Bombyx mori: one gene and its partner. Each later gene encodes a partner of the first gene's protein in a complex. Links are inferred from orthologs where the notes say so. Each region holds a gene or a part of one and is shown on either strand. Other genes may lie near its edges. The genes, in order: general transcription factor IIH subunit 4 and DNA-directed RNA polymerase II polypeptide.

Region 1 (3,836 bases):
GTTGTGGTCGTGGCGAAAACGTCACTTATGACGTCATAACTTACGCTCACGCGAAGCTCACGACGACCCATCTAAAAAGGTGGGTCGAAGTGATCGTTGAGAAAATTAGCGGCGTTTTCAAAACTCAAAGCATCAAAAATGGCGACCTTTAAGCTTACGTTATTTCATGCGGAAAGAGATACTATCAGTGTGCTTAGTGCGAGTTTTTTAACGTTCTCGATAGCGTAAAAGTTAGCTCATATTTGTAAGGAATGGAATCGTTTACGTACGTTTGCCGCTAGGGGCGCTGTTCAAACTGCATACAGAATTGGCTTAACTTTTACGCTATCGAGAACGTTAAAAAACTCGCACTAAGCACACAGGAGCATTATTGCGACCTCTTACCAAATATCCTAGTGCCGCCGCAAAAGACATTTTAATTACATTTGAAAGTAAATTAATTAAATACGCCACTAATATTAAATAAAAATTAAATTATGTATAATTTTTTTCAATATAAATCGATTTAAACAATAATAAGTAAGGTTAATTTTCAAGGCTTACAGATTATAACCTAACCTCTTAAATCTTTTTATTAACTCGGCATTTGTATTATTTACCTGGACTCCACGCTCAAAACACTCTAAAATCCATTCCACTTGAGTTTACGACAGTAACGCTCACAAGCAAGTGGAACGGAAAAAATTGCGGTCGTGAGCGTGATCGTTGTGAACGCTTAGTGGAACGCAGCCTATAAGTGTGGGAAATGTCATCCTCCTCCGTCCGCGTCCCTAGTGTGTGACGTCACCCGGGTCGTGTAATGTTTCAGAGACGCAGAAGACGGGTCCGCCGTTATCACTCGCGCCGGCTTCCAGTTTCTGCTCCTGAGTACACCCAAGCAGGTCGGTTCAGTGTCTGAGCGATGAGCCCGGCCAGCCCGGCCCTCGCGGGGCGGCGGGTGTGACGCGTGTGTGTGCGCAGGTGTGGCTGTTCCTGCAGCACTACCTGCACACGGCCGAGCGCCGCAGCCTCAGCGCCGCCGAGTGCCTGGCCTTCCTCTACCAGCTCAGCTTCAGCACCCTGGGGAAGGTGACTATAATCATTTTTTCCAATGTTAAACTTTTATTGCTAAGATGGACGAACGAGCTCACGACCGCCCGCTGGTCGCCAGAACTCATAGACAAGAACAACAACGTAATTGTTGCCATCCGTTTCAATGCGTTAAATCTTATGAATCTGAACTATACCCATAATATAAACCTTATGAATATTATTCAATCTTAAGAATTTATGTGTCAGTCTCTTTTTACTGTCGCTTTTTTAAAGGTGGCCCGACATGAAAACTCTTGTCGTGGCCGCTGGGAACTACATACCCGATCCTGTAGACCGAATAGTAAATAGTCGAAGTCGCCCTAAATACGTCATTTTGGATCCTCCCGATCCATTAACGGTGCTTTTAGGTACCTCAAGCACCGGTCACCGTCCTCGTTGAACCCGTCGCTTGCGACGAAGGGCTCAACGAGTGAATTAACTCATAGACACAGCCGGACTCGCCGGATCTTCTCAGTGGGACGCGTTTCCGATCCGGTAGTAGATTCTGCGAAGCACTGCTCTTGCTAGGGTCAGTGTTAGCAACACCCCCGGTTAAGCCCCGTGAGCTCACCTACACGTCAAGGAGAAGCTGAAAGAGCCTCCCAAGGCTACAAGTCCAGGTAAGCAAAAAAAGTCGCTTTTTAATTTCATCGTCGTGGCCTAAAGGATGAGACGTCCGGTGCATTCGTGCTGACCGATGCACCGGTGTTCGAATCCCGCAGGCGGATACAAATTTTTCTAATGAAATACGTACTCAACAAATGTTCACGATTGACTTAACATCGTGTAATAAAAATCAAACCCGCTAAATTATAATTTGCGTAATTACTGGTGGTAGGACCTCTTGTGAGTCCGCGCGGGTAGGTACCACCACTTTGCCGATTTCTGCTTCCCAAGTTTTCACTTCAAAAAAACCTGTTCCGTACCGTATCGTTATCACTCGGAGCCTGCGCGCTGTCCGCCGGAACAACACAATCATTCAAACTACTTGAGCGGCTTATCCCGCGCTGTCTGTTGCCTCAATGTCGTTAACGACGTGCTCAATGGTCCAGTAGCCGGGGCCGCCGCCCGCACTGTTACACTGACACTAGAACACGCGGGAATGTACGTCAGAGCAGACTTCATTACGCCCACAACTCGCGAGTACCTATACAAATCGGACTTTGTTTAAAAATATCATCAATTTAAAAAATATATTCTAATTGCTTTTTAAAATATACAATATAGTTATTTTTTTATTCTCCTCCTTCTTGCGTCGTATTCCTCTCACTGCTGAGGGTCGCGACCACCCTTCTGTATCACCTTCGCACGCATGACCTTTCTCCAACTATTTTTGTCTCTGGCGGTGTGGAGGGCGTTGTGAAGTGTGGGATCAAGAGCGGTGCGGATCTGGTCGGACCAACTTATCGGGAAGCGCCCCCGAGGCCTTTTCCCATCCACTTCATAATTATTTGAAAATGTTCAATACGATACAACATCTCTGAATATGTGTCCGGATTGTATGTAATATATGTAATGTGTGTAATATACTGCGGGATGGACAAGTTCTAAAAGTGTTCACGCTTAGAGTTGAAATTATATAAGTGTTTTGAAATTATCAGTAAGACTGTAATAAAATTGATATCTGTTTTTTTTTTAAGAGATTTTATGACCTAGTAACCGAGACCTTTAAGTCATGTCTTATTTTACTTTATATTCTTAATTTTATGAAAAATGATAATATGGAGTGAAATGAAATGAATATGATTAATTTGAGACATTAATCAACTGGGATGAAATGAAATTTAATGAAATGAAATGATATGGGATGAAATATAATCGCAGTAAAATGGTGGTCATTTACTGAGATTTTTTCAGTGGACTTTTTGGAGGAACCCGAGAAGTTACGTCCAGCAGCTTTGTTTCATTTTCCCACATTTGTGCACTTTCACAGATATTAAACAGTTAATAAACCACCATTATTACACATTTAAACCCGAAGAAACACTAAATAGACAAAATAAAACAAATCACACAACTTCACTCCTCGCGTTCCCGCTAAAAAGTCATTGATATCTGAGCCTTACAAAGAGCACAGATACAGCACAGAGTATATGTGGTATGTGGAAAATTATTAACTTAAAGTATCTGTTTGAATGAATTCAATCGTGATGACATTTGAGGTCAAGCATATTTTATAAAAGAAATGTATTGATCAAGTTAATATTTATTAAAATATTTCATTAAAAATTGGTTTTCTGTAATTCAACGCTCATTTAATATCATACAAAAATAGATAGATGAGGTCTGTTTTATTTTAATATAAGAATAAAATAAAAGAGTGCCGCGCGTCTCGTCCGCAGGACTACAGCACGGAGGGCATGAGCAACAACATGCTGGTGTTCCTGCAGCACCTGCGGGAGTTCGGCCTCGTCTACCAGAGGAAGGTCGGTATCTGCGCGCCACTCGGGCGTCGCGGAGCTGCCCCGCGCCACACTATATGGCATTGTAACTGTCTGTCTGTGGGCAACCGTGGGCGGGCGGACACCGGACGTCCGAGTGGCGACTAGGGTCCGCCGCGCGCGGGGACCGGGCCCAACCTCTGCCGTGTGTCGCAGCGCAAGGCGGGCCGCTTCTACCCCACCCGCCTCGCGCTCAACATCCTGCGCGTGCGCTGCGCCGCGCCGCTCGAGGCCGCCGCCGGCGCGCGCGGACACCTCGTGCTGGAGACCAACTACCGCGTGTACGGCTACACCTCCTCCGACCTGCAGGTCGCGCTGCTCGGC
Region 2 (3,000 bases), on another chromosome or scaffold:
GAGATACAAGTTCTAAGGCCTCAAGTATAGTTACAGTACAAGTATAGTTCCAATTAAAATATATTTTGTAACAGTTAATTTGGCAACACAAGTGCCAAGCTACAGATTTATTAACTGAATGTTGTTTATAATTGGAAATGATAAGGAACAACGGAGTACGTTAACTCGACAATCATTATTTACTGCGTAATTAATAATATTCTAGTGAATATTAATACATATGAATATATTTTAGTGATTTGGTTTATAGAGATAGCCAGTGGCGTAGCGAGGGGGGGCAAGGGGGGATCATGCCCCGGGCGCTATTCACAAAGGGGCGCCAAATGGTCCGCAAAACAAAAAATTGCTGATTTTTTTTTTATAATTGATTTCTAAAAAATATATTTTTAATTTAGTACCAATGTACTATAATAAATGTTAATTCGTAAATAAAAAGGAAAAAAGGGGAGTTTCCACGCGAGTTTAGATCGTTACGCCACTGCACATAGCTTATGTCGAAGATAACCTAGTTGTCCTTTATTTACATAGCCACAACTACAAGAAGTCTCGTTATAGTCATATTTTAATTACCGAAATTAATTGATGAAAAGAGTGGGAAAATTAAAGTTAACCGCAGGATGTGGCATCTTTGGTTTTTTTGTTGCCTAGATGTGTGGACGAGCTCACAGCCCACCTGGTGTTAAGTGGTTACTGAAGCCCATAGACATCTAAAACGTAAATGCACCACCCACCTTGAGATATAAGTTCTAAGGTCTCCGTATAGTTACAACGGTTGCCCCACCCTTCAAACTGAAACGCATTACTGCTTCACGGCAGAGATAGGCAGGGTGGTGGTACCTACCCGTCCGGACTCACACTATAATTTTGCGGGTTTGACTTTTATTACACGATGTAATATGTCAAGTACGTATTTCATTAGAAAAATTGGTACCCGCCTGCGGAACTCGGACACCGTTGCATCGCTAGATACGAATGTACCGGACGTTTATCCTTTAGGCCACGACGACTACAGGTCTACTGGCTTCTTCCAAAAACTCCATTGAGCTCTTAGTTAATTTCCAGCATTTTACCGAAACGTTATATACATCATTTCAGTTCATTCAACACATACATAAGGCTGGCAAGAATGAGTGAGAGAAGCTGAAGATCGTGCTCGGCAATTGGAGAGGCCTATTTTCAGCGTTGAACTACTATAAGTTGATGATGATGATACATAAGGTTAGCTTAGTTCCATTTTACATTCATTCACCAGCAAGGTTAAACATCTTTATTACAAAAAAATTGGTTGTATGAGCTTCGTTCCCTTTGTCTGTGTAGTAAATGAAACAAAAAATATGTGACAAGCACAGAGGTTAGAATTTGGCTAACAAGTTGATTGTTTGGAAGTGTTATTCGTTATTTATTTTGTTATATATTAGATGGTGTTAGTTTCATTAAAAAGAAACCTAATTCATTAAATTAGATTTAAGAAACAGAAAATGCCTTACGCAAATCAACCCTCTGTTCACATAACAGAACTATCTGATGAAAATGTAAAATTCGTTGTGGAAGATACCGAATTAAGCGTAGCAAACAGTATGAGACGCGTATTTATCGCTGAAACACCAACAATGGCCATCGATTGGGTACAGTTAGAAGCTAATTCCACCGTTTTGAGCGATGAATTCTTAGCACACCGCATCGGTCTCATTCCGCTCATATCAGACGACGTTGTAGACAAAATCAGGTACTCGCGTGATTGCATGTGTGTTGATTTTTGTTCCGAATGCAGTGTCGAATTTACATTAGACGTAAAATGCACAGATGAACAAACAAGACATGTAACAACTGCTGATTTGAAATCGAGCGATCCTAGAGTTGTCCCTGTTACATCACGACATAGAGATGAAGACCAGGCCGATTATGGTGAAGCAGATGAAATATTGATCATTAAGTTACGCAAGGGTCAGGAATTGAAGCTTCGGGCATATGCAAAAAAAGGTTTTGGGAAAGAGCATGCAAAATGGAATCCAACTGCTGGTGTGTCCTTTGAATATGACCCTGATAATATAATGAGACATACGTTATATCCAAAACCAGATGAATGGCCCAAAAGCGAGCACACTGAACTTAATGAAGATCAGTATGAGGCGGACTTCAACTGGGAAGCGAAACCAAACAAATTCTTTTATAATGTAGAATCATCAGGAGCTCTTAAACCAGAGAATATTGTATTAATGGGAATAGTTGTACTGAAAAACAAATTACTGAATCTTCAAGTGCAGTTAGCGCAAGAGGCACAAAATGATGCCTTAGCAATTAATTGATTTCATAAAATCTAATATTACAATAAATTTAATTAGATAATAAATGTTTTTGTAATTTAAGTTTACATTTTACCTTATGGTGTGTATAAGCCTTCATTTTTCAAAAGCTTAGAATGTTATACACAGTATTTCAGTCTGCAGTCTTTTTGAGAAAAAATCATACTAAAGTGAATGTTTCTGTTTCACATCAAAAACTAGTAATACTTGTGGAATGCAATTAAGAGGTTTATACACAACTTGCACAACATGAATACAACTTTAAACACAAATTAATACTACGGCCTTGTAATCACAAGAAACATATGATTTAATAATAATCTGCAGCTTTTTGCCTAAGAAGATACTCAGTAGCTACTAAATAAAAAAGGAAATTTTACTTTCTGATACATAGATATGGACAAAAAAATTAATGTTACAATAATTTCTGTTTAATTCATTGTACATATTAATTTAAGTAGTTAAACTTTCATAAAAGTATAGAAACTTAGAACCAATATTGTTTTATTATTATGTATACATAATCAATTAAAACATTTGTCACTTTATACACAGCAGTATTATTCTGTTGTTTAGAACAATTAGTGATGTGATCTTACTGCAAAAAACAATTCAAAATATTCATTAGATGTATATTTTTTAATTGCCCTTGTAGACAGACCAGCATACGGCCCACCTGATGGTGAGTGGTTACCGT

Evidence for each region.
Region 2: general transcription factor IIH subunit 4 (region 1) and DNA-directed RNA polymerase II polypeptide share a complex: the UniProt entries of both Homo sapiens proteins name them as parts of the TBP-based Pol II pre-initiation complex. The link is inferred for Bombyx mori from reciprocal best matches to the Homo sapiens genes GTF2H4 and POLR2C.

The regions. Positions count from the first base shown.
Region 1 is NC_085125.1:212,606-216,441, reverse strand, and holds part of general transcription factor IIH subunit 4, read left to right. Parts: intron 1-808; coding exon 809-881; intron 882-960; coding exon 961-1,068; intron 1,069-3,413; coding exon 3,414-3,497; intron 3,498-3,668; coding exon 3,669-3,836. UniProt on the Homo sapiens protein: Component of the general transcription and DNA repair factor IIH (TFIIH) core complex, which is involved in general and transcription-coupled nucleotide excision repair (NER) of damaged DNA and, when complexed to CAK, in RNA transcription by RNA polymerase II.
Region 2 is NC_085131.1:5,447,879-5,450,878, reverse strand, and holds DNA-directed RNA polymerase II polypeptide, read left to right. Parts: upstream 1-1,367; 5' UTR 1,368-1,478; coding exon 1,479-2,306; 3' UTR 2,307-2,337; downstream 2,338-3,000. UniProt on the Homo sapiens protein: Core component of RNA polymerase II (Pol II), a DNA-dependent RNA polymerase which synthesizes mRNA precursors and many functional non-coding RNAs using the four ribonucleoside triphosphates as substrates.